Linked DNA regions of Bombyx mori. The protein of the gene in region 1 interacts with the protein of each later gene in a pairwise test. Links are inferred from orthologs where the notes say so. Each region holds a gene or a part of one and is shown on either strand. Other genes may lie near its edges. The genes, in order: protein bicaudal D, ras small monomeric GTPase Rab6 and Chc.

Region 1 (8,008 bases):
CGTCGGGCCATCGATGTGCGACCCTACGCGGACCTTGATCATAGATAAACTACCAAATCGCTGGTTCTCAATCTTCGCGAAAAACGCACTAAATTATTAATCGGAACATTGTCCCTAAATTCGATAATAAATATTTAATTTTCGGCCCTCGCAAGGTGTTTTAAAGTTAACAACCACAGGTCGCAGAAAGCAGAGACAGGGCACCGGGAACATTCATGCGCGCTCGTCCGACAGACCATGTCTACGCCGCACCGATAATAATATACTATATAAAAAAATCTTCGAATAACAAAATCAATAATTCTTCACTAAGTTCTCTTTCTAATCAATATAAAATAATAATATGCCTACACAAATATAAGTGTACTAAAAAATTGTTACACAAAGGAAATAATAATATTTGGTTAATCGCTCTAACCCCATACAGCAGACAACAGCGATAGTAAACCATAAACAAACAAAAAAATACTGAATCTGTACTATACATAATAATACTATATACTAAAAAACATTTTTTTCTTTCATTGCACGAAACATAGTAAAAAGTTTATCTAATTCTTAATAATGAAAAATATACAACATCTATTTATAATATTTAAGTCAAATAAATAACTATTTTTAATAATAAATATTACCAGAAAACCGTGTAAAAGAACATGTCAGTCTAAATGTAACAATGTCAATGAGAAAGAGACGGATGCGGAAACACATGCAGTAATACTTTTAGTAACAAAACTAACAACCAATACAATAAACATATCAGAGCCGCGCTGCTCGGGTCGGGGGCCGCCCCCCACGCGGGGGGACCGACGGCTAACGATAATACTTAGTAGAGGGGACAGAATACTTGATACGCTAAAGCTATGTATAGAACGGGTAAGTTCGTCTTTTTAAGTACACGAAGAACGACCTAATATAATAATAATTAGTCTAATTTAACAAACACTATGTTAAACAATAAATGCAAGTCGCGGGCTAGCTGCCTGTCGCGAGCTACTAGCTACTCTACTGGCCGGGGCGGCGGCCGGGGGCGGAGGCCGGGGCGCCCCGGCGCGACTCAACCGAAACCATTAACATTCAATAACTTTTTAAATTTCGACTTATCAATAGATGCGCCGGTCGACTCCGTGAGCAATGCGTTGAGCGCTGTGCGAGCGAGAGGTCGACACTGCCGACAGAGGGGGTGCGACAGAGACGGAGAGTCGGCCGGCGCGTGGACAGCATGGACGCGACTGGGACGGCACAGTGATCCACCAACAAACTCAAACATCACGACTACAACAACATGGACGAGACAGAGACGACGCGACCGACGCGTCGCCCGGTAAACAGATTACATAGTCTTTTTGCGCACGCAATGGATGGATGTCGACGATAATGATTCTTTTTCTTTAGAAATTTCACATTTGGACGTAACGGGGGGCCGCGTCCGTCCGGCGCGCGGGGAGACCGCGGACCACAACGGCGCCAATAAATATTCGCTTAACAAAATACACCGGTCCTGTTACAAAAATAATCGATTCGCGTCGACGCGCGATATCGAGTGAAGAAATCGATACGAAAATATGTCCCGAGGAAAGGGAAGGGGTAGGCCGGGCGCGGCCCCGGGCTGGGGACCGCCGCGCCCGCGTCCGGCAGCCCGCCGCAATTTGACCGTTCCAGCGGCGCCGGACGAGGCCCGGACCGGCGCCGCGACGGGGGCCGGACGTGCGGCGCGATTCACATTACATTAAAAAGTTTACAAAACGTACAAATAGGGGACCGGGCCGGTGAGGCTGGAGCCCTAGGTCCGCAGCAGACGGCGCAGCAGGACGGCGACGGCCTTGACCGGCGCCAGCAGTCGCTAGAAGTCCCTCCCCCTGCCGCCCCGCACCCCGCCCGCCTTGGGCACGCGCCGGGAGCGCATCTCGCGGTCCACCTGCGACACACGTCACTGTCAGATGACGTCACAGCGGACCGGTGACGCAGCAATCCACAAATATGTCTAGTTCCTCTTACGTGACGCGGCATTCGCGAACATATCGAGTCTGATCACATGTTTTTTTTATTGCTTAGATGGGTAGACGAGCTCACAGCCCACCTGGTGTTAAGTGGTTAAGTTAAGGCTGCCCCACGCTTCAAACCGAAATGCATTACTGCTTCACGGCAGAAATAGGCAGGGCGGTGGTACCTACCCGCGCGGACTCACAAAATGTCCTACCACCAGTCCTAAATCAGGTTACCTACATCTGAGGTTAGACGGTTGTGTCCGACGCGGCGTGTGTTGCTCGTATGATGGACATGATCTCAAACACCCTTGAACATCCGACCCTTTGGCTCGATGTCGACGGATTATTATATTTAGTTAGTTAACCCTTTCAAATATTTTTGTAGGGAATTTCTACTTGAGCAACAAAGTGCGGAGGCAGGGATTTTGTAGATTATGCCACATGTTTAAATTTAGGTATTATTAGATTATTTTTTATAGATTAGTCTATATTATTTTAGTTTTATTAGTTTAGTTTATTATTTTATAGATTAAAATTACAGGCAGCGGCAGAATAGCAGCGATAGTTTCAGCTACCACAAAGCTGGGCCGCGGCCTTTTTATCTCCACTGTCAGTATAATTAATTGTAATATTGTTTAGATATAATTAGAAATTTAGGTCATATATTTTTTTTTGTTGCCTTTGTAGGCAGACAAGCGTACGCCCCACCTGATGGTAAGTGGTTACCGTCGCCCATGGACTTCAGCAAAGCCAGGAGCAGAGCCAAGCCGCTGCCTACTGCTTAATACTCTCCACAAGCCTCGTTTGAAGAAGGACATGTCAATTGGAAAGTTATTTGTATTGTGGAGTAAATTAATATTATTATTATATTTAGTTAGTAGGACCATTACCTCCAGCTCCTCGAGCCGTTGCGTGAGCGCCAGCTTCTGCTGCACGGCGAGGCGCAGCAGCTGGTTGAGGGTCTTCTTCTCATCCTCGGCCCCGGAGAGCGCCTGCGTCAGCTCGTCCACCTGCGTCACGTACTCCTCGCAGCGCGCCGCGAACATGGCACGCAAGCCTGGAACGGACGCTCACACATCTAGCTATTTTATTTCACACTAGCCGACCCGGCAGACTTCGTAGTGCCTCAATCGATAAATAAAAGACCTAAGCTTTTGTATAACATAAACTTAAAACAAAAGGAATCCGTCCGACGGAGGACACATCAGAGGAAAAACAAAATTGTTATTTTTATTTAATTCAGAGCATTTTCATTTTTATCTACCTTCCTACCTTCTCTGGACTTCCACAAATAATTGAAAACCAAAATTAGCCAAATCGGTCCAGCCGTTCTCGTGTTTTAGCGAGACTAACGAACAGCAATTCGTTTTTATATATAGATAGAAGAAGATGAGTGAACGAGCTCATAGCCCAACTAATGTTGACTTTGAGACACCACCTTGAAACATTTTCAACGGTAGGCAGTGGCTTGGCTCTGCCCCTGGCATTGCTGAAGTCCACGGGCGACAGTAACCACTCACCATCAGGTGGGCCGTATGCTCGTCTGCCTTCTTCTTCTTAGTTTGGTTTCCTCAATACTGAGGGTCGTGACCACCCCCTCGCAACAAGAGTTTATTCCGGATCATTCCACGCCATTTCCCTCTATCTGCCGCCGAGTGTAGAGCATCGTGAACTGTGGTATCGAGGGTAGTGCGGATCTGGTCAGTCCAACGTGTCGGGCCTCTAAGTATTTAGTGATCGCCTACAACGGCAAAAAAAAAAAAGCCAGTACTGACTCGAGAACGTAGCGGCGTCCTCCTTGAGCAGGCGCAGCTCGTTCCTGAGCTTGAGCATGGTCTCCGTGACGATCGTCTTCTCCGTCTCGTACTTGGACTTGAGGTTCGCGAGCGCCACCTCGGCCGTGTTCTTGTTGGACTTGAGCACGGTGCGCAGCGTCGCGATCTGCTCGCGCTTGGTCGACAGAAGGGACTTCAGCTTGATGACCTGCTCCTGGAGCTCGGCCAGCTCGGCGCCGCGCTCCTCCGTGGTCTCCATCACTGCGAGCACATTAAACTCTCGATGAGGTCGAGAAAACGACTACTAAGTGCTGGTATATTAGAATTCTGCAAAACAATGTCAAATTGAATTACACTATTATTATTTTTTGGCTTAAATGGGTGGACCAGCTCACAGCCCACCTGGTGTTAAGTGGTTACTGGAGCCAATAGACATCTACAACGTAAATGCGCCACCCACCTTGAGATATAAGTTCTAAGGTCTCAATATAGTTACAACGGCTGCCCCACCCTTCAAACCGAAACGCATTGTTGCTTCACGGCAGAAATAGGCGGGGCGGTGGTACCTACCCGCGCAGACTCACAAGAGGTCCTACCACCAGTAAATCACCAGTTCAATAAGGGGAACTGGCTGGCGACTCGGCCCGGACTGCTGTGGACTACACCTGGCGTGTGCATTGCGACGCGAGGCACTGCACACTTTGCGACGACAGAGATAAAGAATGGGCAGTAGGTGCTCATTTTTCAGATCAAAATCTACAAGGTTCTACGACTGAATGAACGAATGAAGAATGAACATGAGTGAATGAAGGGCAGTGTGAAGAACAAGTTAAGGGGTTGCGGGACATGACTGCCGGGGCCCGCACGCAGTTAACGACACACAGACACGTATTATCTTTGGTTACTAGTGAGGGCGTGGAGATATAATCTTCAAAACCCAACAATGACGAGTGGGTGAAATGAACCTTATTAAAATTCTTCAAATAATAATAAATACCTAGGAACAAAACACCCACATTGGTACCCGCCTGCGGGATTCGAACACCGTTACATCGCTTCAACACGAATGCACCGGACGTCTTATCCTTTAGGCCACGACGACTTCTAAATTAGTCGACGACGTTAGATAATAAGCACCCAGATAATGAGCAAACAAATTTGCTCTTCACACGAACGTTTTCCCGGTGCGGGAATCGAACCCACGTCCTTCGACGCGACAGTCAAGGCCGTTAACTATTGCACCAACGAGTCAGTCTTATTTTCTTTATCGATAATTCTACTACACAATCACTACAGCTGTAAACTGTCCACTAACTAACTAGAACATTGCTTAGATGCAACCCAATTTATCTTAAATAATAGTTTAAGAAAACTAACAAAGCACGCTTTTATAGAAAATCCAACTAAAAAATAGAAAATAAATTTTAATAAATTTGAATTAAAAATAGTGTAAGAAAAATTATTTTATTGTAAAAAAGCGTGAGGTGCTTTTCAGGATATTATCAAAATAACCCTTCTGCTCATGTCTGTTTATAAAATATTTATAACTACTTATACCATGCACCCCACGCTTTTTTACAATAAAATCATTTTTCTTATATTATTTTTAATTCAAATTTATTAAAATTTATTTTCTGTTTTTTTAGTTGGATTTTCTATAAAAGCGTGCTTTGTTAGTATTTTAAAACTATTATATATTTTTCATTCATTAGTTGAATATCAATTTTTTTAATTTTTTTCTAATATTGTATTGTCATCGGTCCTTAATAAGTATACCAAATTTCGAGTTAATCCGACGTTTTGAAGGGGGTCAAAATCATGTTCATAGATTCCGTTACAAACATACATACGTCTGAAGCTAATAAAAGCGTATTAAAAATCTAAATACACTATATAGTTATAGTTCGTTAACTACAGCGTGATACGTTTGACAGATGGTTTGTTATATCAAACCTATTTCCTAATGACGTCCCGCCGACAACTGTCCCGGGCGCCACGCCGCATCTGACGGACTATACTTCGCGGGACGAGCTCGGGATCACAGAATGTATTGCAGCACGTAAACGCACGTCAGTACAGTCGATTTCACAAATGCTTTCAAGTTGTACGATTTAGGATCGCTTTTCTTAATATCGATCTCATCGTCTAAAGATGCTCTCTTGTACAATTTATCTTTCCATATCGAGTACAAACTGAGATTTTTATTTCGATATTGAGATAAATTTGGATTCGAGATTTGCGACTTCGCTATGGGAAACTGTTTTCTTTTGCCATTAAATTTAGTATCGTATTTTTTGGCATTATATTGTGCGAAGCAATTATTCGAATGCTTCAAACTAGAATCGATTTTGTAGTTCGCACGTTTCAACGCTGTATCGATATAATTTCTGTTCGATTGGAGACCGGTGATATTTTCAAAATAATCGGTAAGCTCTTTAACGTTCCTTCCGTTACAGATTAATTGAGTTACGTTTGTATTACTTTTTTTTCTTTCGTCAGCCATTTTTATTTTTATGTTGGCAATATCTTTTGCTTTTTTTGAACGATTTTCACAAATCGAAGCTACGGGACCTGTCGATATTTTTTTTATTGCTTAGATGGGTGGACGAGCTCACAGCCTACCTGGCGTTAAGTAGTTACTGGAGCCCATAGACATCTACAACGTAAATGCGCCACCCACCTTGAGGTATAAGTTCTAAGGTCTCAGTATAGTTACAACAGCTGTCCACCCTTCAAACCAAAACGCATTACTGTTTCACGGCAGGAATAGGCAGGGTGGTTGTACCTACCCGTGCGGACTCACAAGAGGTCCTACCACCGGTAAGATTATTAACCCATACACTGCCATGTAGGTCACCGGTGTCCTACGCGGCGTACTCAAGTGATTATGTCGATTTCTGTTACTTAGCGCCTAGATTGCTTAACTTTGCCTTCTTTTGTTTGATAATGTATGTTTTAGTCTTTTAGGTATCTTAGAAATAGATTCATTGTCAGTATCTTCGGATTCGTCTTTCCTAGTCTACTGAATATACGTAAGAAAAACAAAGAGAAATCGACATAGTTGCTTCAGTGTGCCACGTAGGGCATCGGTGACCTACACGGCAGTCAACGTGTTAAGAGCAAAGTTTTGTTTTATTGCCCTTGTAGGCAGACGTGCACACGGCCCACCTAATGGTGAGTGGTTACCGTCGCCCATGGACTTCAGCGATGCCAGGGGCAGAGCCAAGCCGCTGCCTACCGCTTAATACTCTCCACAAGCCTCATTTGAAGAAGGACATGTCATAACGCTCGGGAAACACCGTGGAGGGGAGTTCATTCCATAGCCGAATGGTACGTGGCAAAAAATACCTCTGGAAACGCACTGTGGATGACCGCAGTGGCTCCAGGTAGTATGGATGGACCCTACTCCGGTGGCGGGCGGTGCGATGGTAAAAACAAGAAGACGCATGTAAGGTGCGTGGTTGGACACCCCGGGGCGGGGGTGGGTACTGACTGCGCGGCTGGCGGCTCCTGGCGCCGAGCGCGGTGTCGAGTGCGGCGCGCAGGTGGTCGAGCTGGTCCAGCAGGGTGTCGGCGGCGCGGGCCACGGAGCCGGCCGCGCGCAGCCCCTCCAGCGGCCCCTCCGCCAGCGACAGCGCCTCCGCCTCCGCCTCCGTCACGCCGGACTTGGCCTCGCGACCTGCACACCAACCAACATGCCTATGTAAATATTGTTGCTCAAACAGTTAACTGTTATCGCATTAAAACTGTATAATCTCAAAATTTACTAATTGTACAAGAGAGTGTTTTAAAGGTTTAACATGTAACATTTTTAATATTAATCCCCTTTGCAACTTTTATTTTTAATTTTTTACCAGTTACATTATCTGTCTTTTACAGTAAGATAAAATTATGTATTAATTTTGTTAATACTAGTCAAAGCATAGGTAAACTAAAAAAAAAAACTAAAGTACGCTCTCTTGACAATATTTATGAGAAAAATACTGGGGATACCAAATCGATGCCTTCAATGAACACTACTCTAACTCCAAATTCGTAAGTTTACAAGAGGAGAGTTTAAACGAAAAAAGTTGATAAATATATCTGCAATAATAAAGATTTTATGGTTTTTTCTTGTGTAACTAGTTGATTTACTCTTGCTTCGAACCCCATTAATAATGAATTTCTAATACTTTTAAAATAGTGAAACGATCTGCGTGAAAAACGAGAATTTCCAAATTTTGAGTTAGAGTAGTGTTCATTGGA
Region 2 (8,536 bases), on another chromosome or scaffold:
TGGCCATCTTTTCTAACGCCATTTTGACCTCATTTGGACGTATTGGAGGTATAAGCCCAATGTTCCTGCCCACTTTTGTTAACTGTATAGCAGCTTGAGTAGGGTTCAGTAGCTGTTCATAATATTGATGCCAAGCTGATAGTACATCATTATCCTTATACAGAAGCTCACCATTTGGATCTTTAACAGCCCGACATCTAGTGGGATCCCTCGTGCTCCAACAACGCTGTTTAGCGAGCTTAAATATACATTTTTGACCTTCTTTTGTTTCCAGTTGCTCGTACATGGTCTTTAGGGCAACTGCGCGCTCCACTGCCACTATTTTCTTAGTCTCCTTCTTTATTCTTTTATATCTTTCTTGGTCTTCAGAAGTTTGGGTGGACTGCCAGGTCTTAAAGGCATCTTTTTTCCTTTGAATGGCATTTTGCACTGCTTCTGTCCACCACCAAGTCTCTTTATTGCTACCACCTTTTGTACCACCTTTTGTACGACCAAGAGTAATATTACCAGCTTTTACAATGGATTTGCTAAGGTGATCCCATATATTGTCAATATCCAACTCAGTATCAACTTTCAAGTTGCTCAGATGGTTACAGAATTCGGGGCCATTTAATTTATATATATATTTATATTTAGCCATACCATCACTATCACTACATAATATAAAACAAAGTCCCTTTCTCTGTCCCTATATCCCTATGTATGCTTATATCTCTAATACTACGCAACGGATTTTGATGCGGTTTTTTTTTAAAAGATAAAGTGATTGAAGTGAGAGGTTTATATGTATAATAACATCCATTAAATAGTGGAAAAATCAATAATAAATTACAGTTTCCTAAGCGAAGCGAGGGCGGGTCGCTAGTTTATGCATATTATATAATATTGTGACAAACTTTCGGAAAGCCTAAGAACGCAATGGCACAATCTGTCTTGAACTTGAAACTTCGCATGAAAGACACGAAGACAACGGACCACAGATGTAAATGATCTCAGAAGTAACATTATAGTGGGATGCAAGTTTAATTTTAGGTCGACGAATTATCAGTTATGTATATGAATTGTTTCTACGCGTATCTTATTACTTAAAGTACGGTGATTCCCATCTCCAAATGCTTTAAAGTAATACACTGAATGAACAATTCAATATTTCCATGATATCCTAACTGAATATTCTTCTCAATCGTATCACTCTTGACAGAGTGGTCCTGATCGTGATGTAGTGTTGGAAGAGGCAGACTTGATGCGTCTCACGATGTCCCGCCATCTCTCCCTATTCGAGCCCATTCTGCTGCACTCTTTTAGGGGACCTCCCACTGCAGTTTTAATTTGGTCGGTCCACCGCATTGGTGACCTCCTGTGCGGTCTTGTACATCAACCCTTCCCTGTACAACGAGGCGTTCTATAGACCCCTGACTGAATATATTATAACCTTAGAAGACAACCCTTGGGGCTCAATTTGAAAGGTCATTTCTATTTGCTTTCTAAATCGTAAAAAGTGAAATTGTCTACATTCTAGTGGCAAAAACCTGTTACAAAAGCTCTGTAATAATATAATCATGTTAAATATTCATGAGCTTGCATGACTAACGGTGATGATGTAATCATTGTGTTTTGATGTGATGCTATAGATTGGTCTGAATCTTATATCGGTGATTTAACTTTAAAATGCTTTTTTCGCACACCAATGAATTCGGGAGGGGCTTCGCCGTGGGAGTCAATAACGTGTAGTGGGTAGGCAGCGGCTTGGCTCTGCCCCTGGCATTGCTGAAGTCCATGGGCGACGGTAACCACTCACCATCAGGTGGGCCGTATGCTCGTCTGCCTACAAGGGCAATAAAAAAAAAAAAAAAAAAAAAAAAAAAAAAAAAAAAAAAAAAAAAAAAAAAAAAAAAAAAAAAAAAAAACACAATGAAAACATTTTTTGAACAATACATCATCGCACATGGGTGGTCGAGCTCACAGCCCACCTGGTGTTAAGTGTTTACTGGAGCCCATAGACATCAATAACGTAAATGCGCCACCCACCTTGAGATATAAGTTCTAAGATCTCAGTATAGTTACAACGGCTGCCCCACCCTTCAAACAGATACGCATTACGGCTTCACGGCAGAAATAGGCGGAGTCGTGGTACCTACCCGCGCGGACTCACAAGAGGTCCTACCACCAGTAATTACGCAAATTATAATTTTGCGGGTTTCACTTAAATTACACAATGTTATTCCTTCACTGTGGAAGTCAATCGTGAACATTTGTTGAGTACGTATTTCATTAGAAAAATTGGTACCCGCCTGCGGGATTCGTCTTATCTCTTAGGCCACGACGACTTCAAAACAAACATAACTTACAAGCTTAATCGTATTATACCAAAAATCTTCTTTATAGTGCAGAATTAAAAAGCAACATCTTAGTAAGTAGTAACCACTCTAGGAGATTAGGAATTATCAAATTAGATAGGAAAATAGATGGGGCTATTGTTACATCGAGGTGATGATAGAGAAATAGCAGCAGTAGCTCCTGGATGCTGCACTCGTATTATCTGAGATCTTAGAAGAGTTATGGATGCCTTGTGTGGATTCGATGTTGAATAATACAGGGTGTCGTGTCCATTGCTAAGCCAAAACAACAATAAACTTCTAGCATAGAGTAGGTAAATGGAAAATAATATTTATAAATAGGCAAAGACAAGAAGTTCTTGTTGTCTTGTTTTTCAGCTGACTTTCATGTCACCATGGTAAAAATGGAAAATTCTTGTTGGCACTTTTACAAACCAAATGTCGATGGCTAACACACAAAAATGTCGCGTAATCCATTTGGTTTAAACATTTAGACAGTTTTGTAACTTCACGAGAGGGCCATTTAAAGATAAAAATTTGGAAAAAATATGCTACCGCAACTTAAATTGGAATAACATAATTGGAGTTTAATTAAAAACATCGAATTGTTGATGCTAATCTATACTAATATATAAATTTACTGTGGTTTTTACTGATGTTCCATTATAACTACTGAACCATCCATCCGATGGACTTGAAACTTGGTATCCGTGTAGAAAATACATGTACTTAATGGATAGGCTTATATTTATATGAGTGTTGGACTCCCTACACCAGTTGCAGGGGTGTTAATGATGAGAATCTTTGTGGGGGTGAGAAATAATAATGTTAATTTTAAATGCCCAGCGAAGCGGACGGGTACAGCTAGTACCAAATAAATACCTAATACCTAGATAAATGTCTCTTAAACAAATAACCCTTCACCCCTTAATATAATGAATCTAAATTTTAAAATGTCATTGATTTTATAGATGAATTTCAGCCTTTAAGTGAATACTAGTTGAATGAAATATACATTATAATGATATTTCGCATATAAATATATTGTGAGAGTGTAATGTAACAAGAAGGGAGATCACACACATTCCCTTGAGACTTCAGACAGACAGACATATCATCTTAGTTACATCTTTTTAATTACATTGTACAAAGTAATAAATACATTTGTAAAGGATAAATTGTTAATTTAAAAAACTACTGTAAGGGATTTTCTAATATGGATCACAGCAAATCAAATTCCTCAATCTGTATTAATTTCTAGACCCAATTTAAATGTGAACAAAATTTTAATTATAGTTCACTCTATTATTTTTTTGCAACCTTTGAACTTTATTCAAAACCTGTGACATCCAAAGATTTATGGGTAAAATGGACTAGAATAACATTATGTAGGAGGGGCTAAAAAGCTCTCTCAATAATCTCAAATAATGCTAGGTGCTTAACAAAAGTTTGGTGTCCACAAGAGTATCTAAGTTTTGATGGGATGAGTAAAGAAACATTAATTCTACAGCAGAAGCTAAAATTTAATAATAAAAATAAAATAGGTTAAGATATTTTATAATTAGCAATCAATGTGTTGTGGAAAAACATTTCAAATGTGAATGCTAATTTTTGTATTTTTATTACAGAACAAAAGTTATTAACAATAATAAATGTTCAACAAAAAATGCATTTTTTATTTTAAGTGATCAAGTCTTAAAGCTTATGATTATAAGTATTCAATTAAGGATAAATAATAAGAATTTACTTTGTCAAACGTATCCATAGCTGTATTTCTATGTTGATCAAGTTTAATGATGAAAATTATCAAATGTATCGAACTTAATTTTTGAAACCATGGCTTGATAGTTTATACTTTTACGACTGCATAGGTCTCTGACTCACCTGATAAGTATTGTCGAAGCTGTCGTACATGAATCTAGTGATGAGAGACGTCTTCCCAACTGAAAGAAAAACAATGTCATACCATTCAATCCCATTATCGCACTACACGCGAATTAATAAGAAAATTTATTTTCGATAGCGGCACAACCGTGAGAACATTGTACGCTCACAATACGATGAGAGAACGTAACCTACATCAGTCACGTAATTCAGCGCTCTAGAAACGAAATTACATTAAAAAACTATAATCGAAGAGCAATGAGAAAAAAACTGCCTTTAAAACCCAGCCCGGACTATCTAGGTCAGTAATTCAATAAAGTCTAGACGAATCTATCCTTACATATCGTAAATTCAAAACTGTATATTAAAAATGTACAAGAGCAAAACTACATTTTTGCCGTATACTTACCACTCTGTTCGCCGAGAAAGACAAGCTTGAATTTGCGTAAAGGATTACCAAATTCACCCGATGTAGACATCGTTATTGTTTTAATTATTACGCTAAACTATAATTTTACAGTAATCTTATCACAGAAAACTACATGAAAATGAACGTTCCACAATGACAGTTCGAACCACTCCTGCGACAGGCGAGCGCAGCGCCGCCACGTTACGGCAGACTGACGGCGCGACGAACTAGCCAACTCAGCAAATCTACTAATGACTCAACATAGCATACTGCGAACAAAAAAAAACATTTCAATTCGTATTTTAGATTGGGATCTAAAACAATGAAAATACATTCCTAATTTAAGTTTCTTTCTAAACTATGTATTTGATTTTCTTGAAAGTATATACGTTTCCGAACGATACAATTATTATTCTGATTGCAACAAAGACATCCATCCATTTTTGGGAATGATATTTTATTGGAACGAAGTTCCTTACGGCAGGCTTGGAGGAGATAGGGATTTTGCTGCGCGACCGAACTGAAAAAATGTGATAGTAAAACCGTAAGAAAAAGTCCGTGGAATAAAACCGTTAAATGAGACGTGCGCAGGCGCGACAGTCGTATACACAAGCAAATAGTTTAGAATTCCTTTCTCTTTCTCCTTCTTTCTTTTCGTTCTCTCATCCCTTCTCTCTCTATTTTGTAATTATTTCTATTTCTATGTAATTTTATGTTGTCAAACAAAAATAAAGATATATTTTGTTATTTTAATTGATAATTTGAATTAAGTTTTATTTATTTATTTTACGTAATTTATGATTTCCTAAAATATTGAATTTCCTAAATACTCTCCTGTATTTAAATAAAAACTAATCAGCAAAATTTAAGAGAAAAATCAAGAAAACCTACATAAAATTGAGCACGATTTTTTTTTTGCAAATTGTGTCGATTCTACATTAGCCGAAGGAACTTCGTTCCTACCTGGTGTCCCACGACACCACATCTTGTATTTTATAAACACATTCTTTTTTGTTAGGCATGATTGGCTAATTATTATGCTATGGATATGTTATGAATAATTTCATGGCTCACCGGGTGTTAAATTATGTAAAATGTAACTGGCTTTGTCAACCTGACGCCATCTCAATAAAAATTTTGATAAGTTACATTAACGTTCTCTATTTTTTTACAAAATAAGCTTATTTTAGTTGTCATAGTTTAGTTTAAGCATAATTAAGGGATGTGCACTCGAAATCAACCAATAGAAATCGATGCTTAAATGGACAATGCAGGGCAATGTGATATTTTCGTTAGATGTGTTTATTGCTGTGACTCGACTAGAATTGAAAGTAGGTACCTAAGTGGTCAGAACACACAGTGACACACATAATAAAACTCGTTATATTTTTGGCGGGAACGCGAAGAGTGAAGTTGTGTGATTTGTTTTATTTTGTCTATTTAGTGTTTCCTTCTTCAGGTTTAAATGTGTATTAACGGTGGTTTATTTACTGTTTCATATCTGTGAAAGTGCACAAATGTGGGAAAATGAAACAAAGCCGCTGAACGTAACTTCTCGGGATCCTCCAAAAAGTCCACTGAAAAAGTCTCAGTAAATGACCACCACCTTACTGAGATTATATTTCATCCCATACAATCTCATTTCATTTCATGCCATGTTTCATATTAATCAACTTCATTTCATTTCATTATTTAAAATAAGATTTGACCTAAAGGTCTTAGTTACCAGGTCATAAAATCCCTTAAATAGAAAAGGTCGCGCCGGTACTTATTAACTCCATGGTCGCGCCACCATAGAGTTACTATTCTAACTGGAGTGCTTACTTCGTTTGACATAAAAACTAAAAATATACTTTATCTCTATGGCTTAAAGTTTATTTTTAAATAGCAAAAGATGTAAGGAAAAACGGTCTGAAAAGAGAATGATTATTAAGTGGTGGTGTCCCTCTCACACATTTTACAAACAAAAAGCAGTGTTGCTAGCTTAGAGGATTTTCCATAAAATCTCGGAATTTGGACCCCCGTCTTAGTTATCAAAAATGGCTTTTAGTGGTTAGTGGATTTTTTAGTAGCTTGGGTGTTGTTGAAAATTATCGAAAAGTTTAAAATCAATCCACTTTACAGGATTTTAAACATTTTATGACAATAATATATCTAAATACATATTATTTAAACGATGTGACTTAAACTTAACTAGAAAATGTTGCGAGAATTTAGAATTTCCATCAACGTCAAAAATTAAATTGGTTCAAAATAAACGTACAAAGTTATGGTGAAATTAGTTTCTGATGATGACAATTTATTAAAATAAATTATATAAGAAGTATTGATTATATGATATATATTGATTTTTAATAGAACATCATATATTAATAAAGCTTATTAACAAAAAATTATTGTTCTATGTTAATAAGAACTCTGTTTAATGGAAAATTTAATGGTAGGTACGTAGATTTCTGATGGTTTTCATGTTGAATTTGGTGGGAAGCCAGATTAATTGTTGGCATCACCGAAAAAGAGCTATGAATGGATTAAAAGAAAAATGGCGTCTATTTACGTTTGTAGTGCGAAGTTAAAATGGCACTGATACAGCTTGTGGCTTGTTTTTTTTTCGAAAATCGTGAAAGTTTCCGTGTAATCATGGTGAACACTTTTAATGTAAGTGGTTTTAAGCGAGAATCGTCTCCAGTTTGTGGAATATCCTTCCATATGTCAGATTCATTGATAAATTTTTACTAGTGTGAGCATATATTTTTAAAATGTGAGATATTTTTTCTCATTATAATATTTAATACCATTTGTCTTGTAAATTGTACTTAATCTATGTCATATACTAAATTTGAAAAAACAATCGTGAAAACTATAATTTTGCAATGTATTTTTCATATTATAAGAGCCATCACGTGGTATTTTTTGAACTTTTTTTATTGTATTGAATAGCGTCGCACGGAAGCATGTATATCATTTGCCTGACGTTAAGCGAACGAGTAGGATCTTCTAGTAAATATGACGTTGGAATTTCTGGAAAATGTCCTATATAAAGGTCAAACAAGAAGTATCAAGTACTCAAACGCAAGAAATAAAAAATACCCCGAGAAAAGCAAAATTACGACAAGATGTTAAGGTATTGAAACAAAAACTTAAAAGTCGCGAAATAGTGATTGTAAATATAAAGTCGATTTTAGATTTATTAGAGAAAAATGGCGATTTTTAATTGAATTGAAATTTAAATTGCGAAATTTTAATGATACTCATGGTCCACTTAGATATTGATTAAAATAAATTATGTATTTCGTTGAAAAAAAAGAATTTATTTAAAATAGAGGAAATGTTATATTATAAGACTACAGAAAATTAACTGAACTTAATAATAATAATATGTATAACCAATATTTTGTAAATAGAGATCAAGTACTATGTGTATCGTGTTATGTGTATTGACTTGTCATTTAAGAGTTATTTAATTGTCTACATATAACAAATAAATGAATTTCAGTTCATTTCATTTTATTACCCATTGTGTTTTATTTCCTAAAATGTAACTAGTAGACTTAATATACACGTGTCATGAAAATAGCACAGAAGTAAAAATACAAACAATTTTAAATCAATTGAAGATGTGAATGTAGGAAAAGAGCACCCGATACGCGCAGACCATGTGTGTTGCAGTGTCTCACTCAGTGTGTCAAATATTAATTTGCACGGCCCACTTAGCCAGTGCATTAAAGTAGGAATTGCGTAATTAAGTTCAACATAATATATTATTTAAGTCGCGGTTGAGTATTCGGACGTTAAACACGAGTTTGAGGAAGTTTAAGTAATAGAACTGAGGTAATGATGTTTGTAATAAAACTCAGTGCTAGATTTTCGACAACGCAGCAATTTCCAAAAAAAACCGTCGAAAAAA
Region 3 (8,478 bases), on another chromosome or scaffold:
GTACTAAATTTAACTTATGAACGAAGTCATTTTGAAACATGATTTATTGACACATTGTTTTATTATTATTATGATATCCTAGGGTGTTTACAATTCAAGGTCGTAATAATCAGATTATTATTTATTGAATTGCCGTAGATTTAATGAGGGCAATGACGTTTAAACAGCTTTAGATTATATGAGTCGTCTATTATCAAAGGTGGCAATCTGTGCATTTGGACAAAAAAATGTTATTGATATGTCAATTCAGATTTATTTGAATATAATCGTCTCCTTCAAAGAATACGGCTCAAAACCTGCATTAAATAAAGGTTAATACTTAACCTGTTATTTATCTAAGATGTCGTTCAGAAGAGTTTTGTGACTGCCAATGGAATACAAAGTCAATAATTCGTTTTTCTGATTTACCAATAATTGTCCAAAAGTCACATTGCCGGCTTTGATAATAGACGACTCATATATAAGCAATGATTTGATGCTCGTTTCCGTTCTTTATTAAATTTTGTGCCAAGAAAACGTAACTGACAAAATTAACGCACAGATGAGTCACTGCCAGAGCTGTTTCCCCAAACGGAGGCACGAATGTGCGTGATGTAACCAAGAATATAATAAATATATTTATTTTATACGTATATATAAATCAATTTGTGTCCATACATATTTGGACAAATGTACATATCGATCGCCTGCGTATATGCGTTACGTCATAGAAAACTGCAATGCAGATAATATCTTCATAGATTTTGTATTATGCTCAAACATTTGTGTAAATAATGTCGTGTACATTTCATATACATTAAAATTTGCAAATTCTTATCAAACAAAAGCCGATAAACGTTCAGGGATGACTTTGCCCGATAATGAATTTTCTATCAGTCAATGTCAAAATGTTAGGTACTTACTTACTACCAATTTGTACCAATAATTTTCGACAAATCAACTGATTTAGACGCCATTCACCGTAATCCGCGACTTGGCCACATCAAGTTAAATGAAGCCAATTTCCTTAATACGGAAATGTCATATATTTCGAAACAATAATAAAGCTATTTTGATATTGCCGAACACGCAACGAAATTATTGAAGATTATTTATTTTAAGTATATATCGTCAATCGCAAATTGTTATTTATTATCTTAACATATCCAAAGCTTTTAATTTACTAGACAGATGTGATAAGAGTAATGTTTTGTTTTGTAGCAAGCTTCAATTAAAACGGAATTAATATGTATACACAAAATATTTTTTATCTTCCTTTTAGTATAATATATTTTTTTGTTTGTTTGATGACACATTATTGTTGTTCACTTATACAGACAAAACTGATAAGTGGATAACTTTTTGTGTATTGCGACTGTGCCTGCGTTCGAGTTCGATGACCGGTACCGACTTTTCTAAATACATAGACCGTACCATACATGTGCTCAAACTACTTTTTGATGGGATCGCACAATAACAATTTGAATTTCCGTATTGAGCTTACACAAGAAAGCGAGCATCACCATTCCACATGTCGAGAAGCAGTGATGCATTCCGGTTAAAACGTATTTGTGGAATTTATGATTTGATGTTCATGGGCTCCGATAGCCGATGCACTGTTCCTCGCCGGATCTTCACAGTGGGCCGAGATTCTGGTCCGGTAATAGATTAAGTGAAGCAGATATCTCTGCTTGCACATGTCCCGGTATTAGCAAATTATTTCAGGCCGAGGCCTGTGATCTCGCACACTAGTCCAGGTGAAGTCAGAATAATAGCCTCTCGCGATTAATGACAAAAAAGCTTAGTAATAGTTGGATCGTGAGCTCCATTACCCTAAAGCCTAGAGTAATTTAACAAATTCAATAGTGTCGTCACTGGCATTCTTATAATATTAACGTTCAAGAGTAGTGTTCGAACATCGTTAATATCATGGGCGTAATTTGACTCTTTTCGTTACAAAATGTCGTCATTTTATTTATTACATACTAGCTGACCCGGCAGACTTCGTAGTGCCTCAATCTATAAATAAAAGACCTAAGCTTTAAACAAACAAAAGGAATCCGTCCGACTGGGGACACATCAAAGGGAAAACAAAATTATTATTTTTATTAAATTCCGAGCATTTTCATATTTATCTACCTTTTAAACCTTCTCTGGATTTCGACAAATAATTCAAGACCAAAATTAGCCAAATCGGTCCAGCCGTTCTCGAGTTTTAGCGAGACTAACGAACAGCAATTCATTTTTATATATATATATATATGTATTACATATTACAGGCGTCTCGCGTACAACACGGTACTTGTAAAACACGGTTTCGATATTAGACGGTACAAGAATTAAGAATAATAATTATAATACGGTTTTAAAATAACACGATTTCAAAATATCGAATTTGCATTGGAAATTTAAATGTATTTTTGAATTGCATTCAATAAGGGAAATCCCCGGGGCTTCGTATAACACGATCTCGAATACAAGGCCTCGATACTACACGGTATACCCTGTTTCGTATAACACGGTACGAATGACTCGTGTTAGAAATTAGAAGGACGATTTCTAATTATTTAATTGTCCTGATTCACTTATTAAAATGATAACCCAGAAAAATATTAAATTGAAACTCAATAAAAGAAAAGTGTTATGTAATGAATTTTTTGGTTATGTTTACATAAATATTTATTTAAATAAGTACACATCATATTTTTATATTAACTACAATATTGAATAGATCCCTTTTGCGTAATTATCACCTGTTTAACGCACAAAGAAAGCTTTCTTGGGACTATGTCTTTGTGTTGGGCGTTACAATCGCGTCTAAATTTAACCACACGATGATAAAACAACAAGAAACGCCCAGCAGGATATTTAGTATGTCATTTCTTTACACAAAAGCATTCTCAATGAAAATAGTTTTCTTTTTTAATTCTAATACATTGTGCTCACTTTTTAACCATCTGTATAATTTTATATAAATATACACGCTTTTTTTTCGTTTTTCGTCTTCTTGACTTATTCATACCGTTTTTAGACATGTAGGCAAATAGAATTTGGAAGCTTATAATAGATGAAGTCGAAATTTGAAGTATTATGTAATCTTTATTTCTGTGCAACCCACAACTTCCTTAAGTCTATAGAATAAAGATAAATGCGTGTTGCATTAGCTCCACACTAGCATATTTTCTTTGTTTTTTCTCTGGATAACACAAAATAAACTAAAAAGAAGAGGTAAAAATCCTGTTTCTCATAAGTTATTATAAGTTTTTTTTTTTTTTTGTTAAAATCATAATTTTGTTTTCTTAACTTGCTACATTTAAGGGCCCTGGCTAACAATTTTCGGCCATATATATTAATGATCAAAATTTACTTTTACATTTGAAACCAATTGCAGCAGAAACTATTACCATAAAACTGGCAAGAATCTGAATTTTGTAACAACAAAATCAAAACACTTCCAAGCAACATTCAGATTGTCTGCCTAGTGAGCAAACATGTTCCCTTTTTAGTTGCTAACGCAACTAACAAGTCAGTATTAATTTAAATAAAAAACATAAAAAATAAATTACTGCATTTGAATCTTTTTTGATGTCTCCACATACTGCACTAATTGAAATTTAAACTTAATCAACTTATAAGATAATTCTACCATATATTGACATAGATGAATTACTATCTTACCTTCAACACCAGCTTTGCCTTTCAAAGCAATGACTTTACTAGCTGGATTCATGATAGCAGAGTCTGCACTGATTGGTCGTCGAATTGGATTTGTTGGATCTGCCATATCAATAATGACAACTTCTGCAGTCTCACCAACCTTCTCGCGAACACAGATAAACTTGTCCGATTCCATGGTGAGAGTGTTGAAAGAAATAGAAGCAGGATTGATTCCCACATTGGTAAGCTGAAAAAAACATTTTTTAACAGAATCATGTTCCATGTTCCATCAACCTTCCATGTTCAGATGAGCAATTAATATGTTATATAATACAAATAAATCACATACAGAACTATCTTACATGTTTGGAACAGTTTTATAAAATTATGAATATATCATATTTGAACACAATTTTTTAAAAGAGCCTTAAATTTTAGTTGAGATTCTTTTTATAGTATGTTTTTTTTTATGATTGAAGGATTACTGGTGGCCCAGAGGCCTTTCCAGTTTCACCAGGACAGGTGGGCGAGCAAAGGCTCAGCCAGGAGGGGTGGGATTTGCTAACAGCTACCCGAGCGCCTCTGAAGGAGACCTAACAGCTCAAGAGCAGCTGCTTCGCAAATGAAACTACTACCGGATCGGAATCGCGACCCGCTGAGAAGATCCGACGAGAAACTCAGCGAGCTGATTCATGGGTTAGGTTGCACGGCGAACTCTTTGCCGAGTTCGACGAGTACGGTTACCGGGGTCCCTAAGCCTGCTCCTAGTGTTAGAGCTGAAGGCGTTTAATTCAAAGGTGTCTAGGGCTTTATAGTATGTGTAATTAGATACATACTACAAGATAACCAAATACTAAATTTAAAAACTCCACACAAAAAATCAAAAACCACTAAGTATACTAAAATACTTCATTTAATTATCACTTAAAACTCATTTTTCACAAATAATGTTATTCTTAAATTTTATGACATATAAGATGTTAAAATAATTAATTTCCCCTCCTAATAGTTTTCTTTAGCTTTCTTACAGATGAAGACATCAATTTTTATTCTAAGATATATTTTACCTACAACTACAAATGTTATTCAAGTGCCTACATTGCATAAGATATCTTATGGTATATAATTATTTGGTTATTTTTAATCATTAATTTATTTTAAATTTATATTAGGTTTAATTCACTAAAGAGAACTGATGCGATTTTCACTTGTTATAATCCTGAGTATTGATAAAATTGGAATGTAGTTAAATTATCACAAATTGTTTTTCAAGGAACAATATTTTGTTGAAGGTAGGTGAATTTTTATAAAGAAATAAAAATAGTGTTCGATTTTTTAGACCTTATCCTCTTTGAACAAAATCCACAGATGCCAATAATGTATACATTGACAATCACGAGATTTGAAATTAAAAAGAAAATTATATTTAAAACTTCGCGTTTAATAAAAAATAACCCCCATCTAGCGTTTCAACCCCCAATCATATGATCGCAAATTGAATTTGGAACAAATCAATACCTACTGGCTTCAACTCGACTTGCACGTAGGGGGTGGACACTGTCTAAGTAATGAAAAAAGCATTCATTACCTTACATTTTTTTGATCAATTCATTAAAAAGTTTCACTACCCATCCCTAATACACTTTCTTAGGGGGCCCTTAGTTCCTAAAAGGAAATGATCGGTAAATGCAATAAACTGATGGGCGTACTCACCTGTAAATGTTCTTGAAACCGTATCGGTAATACTTGCGCCATGTTTATTGATCACTCCGTCCTACACAAACCGAAAACGAAAAAACGGGCGACCCTTTTAAAATCGCGAACTCTGAAAAGATAGCACAAATCAATTTCACTGATGTCTCATCGGAAAACACTTTTGACAATCAACATGGCGTTCGTTAGAGAAAGAAATGACAACGACCGGATCGCGACAAAAACAATTTACTGATTATAAACGATAGATGACCTATCGTACTTACAACTTCTAGAATTCTACATGAAGAAGAATAGGGGCGGATAAATTTGGCTGTTTCGGAGTAATATGACGAATAATGTACACCCTCGGATGCCACATATACAAATGAATGAAATGGTAGACAAAAGAGAAAGAGAAAGCATGATATAAACTTCAATCACAATTTCTGCATTCATTATGATGCGATCGCATCTAATAGTAGTCTAGAGATGCAATCAAAATATTCCAAAAATAAAATTGAAAGACTTGATAGCATGGCTCATATAATACCCTTAGTACCCTTTTGGGCTTTTTTTTTTTTTTTTTTTATTTTGTCAGGAGGAAATCGCCGGACTCCCACCCTCCACTGGGGATGGAGGGTGGGGCATGTCGGAGTCGAACCGACTAAAACCTCCTGTCGCTCAACAACCAACGTCCAACCCTCGCATGAGACAGAACTCATGAAAAGGCAAGGGGAGGAGAGTGAAGCGTTTAGTGCGGAGCACATCTCTCCCATCACCCTCCCCCTCGGGACGCCGGGCCAGCGATCGTCGGCGCCACGACCACCAGCCCTCTCGGTCGGCAGGCTGTCCGAAGCCCGCCTAGATGGCGCCGGTTTGAATTGGTTATCCTACGAAATACCCCGCTGGGTCAGAACCAGCGTGGGTCAAGGATAGCCGGCCTTCCATCACCCGGATGCTCTTGCGTAAAACGCGTGCAGAGCAGCTTGCACGTCGTCTTCTTAGGCCCCCTTCGCCGGGCCCCAGACCGACATATGAGGGGGACCCGAAACACTTAGAGGGCCAGGGCTAGGGCGAGATCCGCCTCCCTGGCCCCCGCTCGACGGCGGCGGGCTTGTGCGTCTCTCACGCGCCCCGCCGCCTCCTTCTGCGAGATGGTGCACTCGCAGAAGTCGAGCATCGCCTTCCACGACTCGTCGTTGCCGAGCATCGATGCCACAACACTCGGCAACGACAAGTCGTTTCCTATTTTTGCGACAAGGACACGGCGCCACCCCTCCCATGCGGGGCAGGCAACGAGCGTGTGCTCCGCCGTGTCCAAGTCGCAACCACAATGGTAACACTCTGCCGTCGGCTCGGCTCCGATCCGGTGCAGGAACTCACCGAAGCAACCATGCCCAGTGAGCACCTGCGTGAGCCGGAAAGTGAGGCGTCCTCTGTCACGATTCACCCAATCCACAAGAATCGGGCGAATCGCCTCGACGGTCCTACGACCAGCCGAAGGATCGGCCAGCCGCCTGGACCATGACTCCAGCACGGACCGCCGAGATTGGGCCCTCCGCGCTCTGACCACACTGGGGCTGGGACGCGCCACGCCCCGGGCACGAAGGTTAGCCCGCCACTGATAGTCAGCGGCGAGCGCCTCCGCCTCCAGGACCCAAGGCGGCGTCCCAGCCAGTACACACGCCGCCTCAAAAGAGATGGTGCGATAACCACGGATGACCCTGACCGCGATGGTGCGTTGCGGCCGTTGCAGCAACTTCGCTACCCCCACGGCCAGGGACTGGCCCCACACGGGTGCTCCGTATAGGGCCATTGACCGCACCACCCCCGTATAGAGACGGCGCGTCACCTGGTCAGGCCCCCCGATGTTGGGAAGAAGTCGGCTTAACGCGCCGGCCACCCCCAACAAACGAGGGACCAGGTGCTGAAAGTGAGCACGGAAGGTCCAACGACTGTCCAGAATGAGGCCGAGGTACTTTAACTGCACCCCGACCCCGATCCGGACGCCTCCAACCACGATATGGGCATCGACAGGTGGCACTCTCCGGGGCCTGTGGAACCACATGGCCTCGGATTTACTGAGCGCCACGTCGAGGCCCAATCTCCTGATTTTGCCGACGACATGCGCTACCCCAGCGGTGGCAAGACGAGCAGACTCAGCAAAGCTCCCTCCCCGGGCCACGACCAGCGTGTCGTCTGCGTAACATATTACGCTTAGGCCCGGGAGGAGGGCACCCCTCAGCACCCAGTCATACCCGATATTCCACAAAAGAGGGCCGAGTACCGACCCCTGTGGAACACCGCGCACGACCGGGAACCGATGTACGACCCCACCGTGTCCGGTACACGTGACCGATCTGTCCTCCAAGTAGGAGCCGACCAGCCGGCGAAGGTAGAGGGGCACTCCGTGTCTTTCCAGCGCCCCCCCTATCACGGACCAGGGCAGGGTGTTAAACGCATTGGCGATGTCGAGCGACACCGCCAAGGCCACCCCACCCCCACAGACGGCCTCCTCCGAGAGGGCCCGCACGCGAAGGATCGCGTCCACCGTTGAGTGGCCCTCTCGGAAGCCATACTGCTCCGCCGACAGATCGGGTCCCACCCCGATCAGATGCTGGATGATGCGGGCTGCCAGAATGCGTTCCAGCAGTTTGTTTGGGCTTAGAGTTCTGTTTTAAATTTAAATCTATGATTAAATCTCGCTGAAATTTTCGCTTTCCAATCTCGCTTTCCATGCGAAAATCAAAGTTCATTAATTTGTTAAAATCCAAATCATATTCGTCCTCAAATAATTTATTGAGACGACATATAGGATTTAATTAAACACGATTATCTGTATGATATAATATCAATCACATGTTTTTTCAGGTCTATTTTCTTCTATTAACGTCCGCTATCATTCGTTTTATATTTTTCAACTCCATTCCTACTTATTCTAAATATTTAGGTTGAAGTCGTTCTACGTGAACTAATCTAGACGTGGACATTATATTCGCCACACTCCGTTGATCTCAACATAACGTTAAACTCTGACTCCGACTGTTCTTTCATAGTTCTTTTCTCTGAGTTTCATAGACTGTTAGGAAAAGGTAACATTTTAAGCATAAAATTAACTGTAGGACCTTTCAGCGGAAAGTGTTGCCG

The links.
Region 2: the proteins of protein bicaudal D (region 1) and ras small monomeric GTPase Rab6 interact in a two-hybrid assay, tested with the Drosophila melanogaster proteins (3 studies listed by BioGRID). The link is inferred for Bombyx mori from reciprocal best matches to the Drosophila melanogaster genes BicD and Rab6.
Region 3: the proteins of protein bicaudal D (region 1) and Chc interact in binary tests that used the Drosophila melanogaster proteins (3 or more experiments, as listed by UniProt). The link is inferred for Bombyx mori from reciprocal best matches to the Drosophila melanogaster genes BicD and Chc.

Annotation. Positions count from the first base shown.
Region 1 is NC_085125.1:2,134,780-2,142,787, reverse strand, and holds part of protein bicaudal D, read right to left. Parts: intron 7,443-8,008; coding exon 7,257-7,442; intron 6,335-7,256; exon of another isoform or gene 5,717-6,334; intron 4,025-5,716; coding exon 3,764-4,024; intron 3,046-3,763; coding exon 2,879-3,045; intron 1,919-2,878; coding exon 1,844-1,918; 3' UTR 1-1,843. UniProt on the Drosophila melanogaster protein: This protein is essential for differentiation. It may play a role in localizing of Nanos (a maternal determinant) activity in oocytes. Functions redundantly with BicDR.
Region 2 is NC_085111.1:16,050,524-16,059,059, reverse strand, and holds the start of ras small monomeric GTPase Rab6, read right to left. Parts: upstream 4,827-8,536; 5' UTR 4,700-4,826; coding exon 4,630-4,699; intron 4,280-4,629; coding exon 4,221-4,279; intron 1-4,220. UniProt on the Drosophila melanogaster protein: Protein transport. Regulator of membrane traffic from the Golgi apparatus towards the endoplasmic reticulum (ER). Mediates membrane trafficking during egg chamber growth and organization, possibly upstream of exocyst component Sec5.
Region 3 is NC_085122.1:8,777,425-8,785,902, forward strand, and holds the start of Chc (clathrin heavy chain), read right to left. Parts: upstream 5,777-8,478; 5' UTR 5,616-5,776; intron 5,462-5,615; 5' UTR 5,392-5,461; coding exon 5,350-5,391; intron 3,884-5,349; coding exon 3,658-3,883; intron 1-3,657. UniProt on the Drosophila melanogaster protein: Clathrin is the major protein of the polyhedral coat of coated pits and vesicles.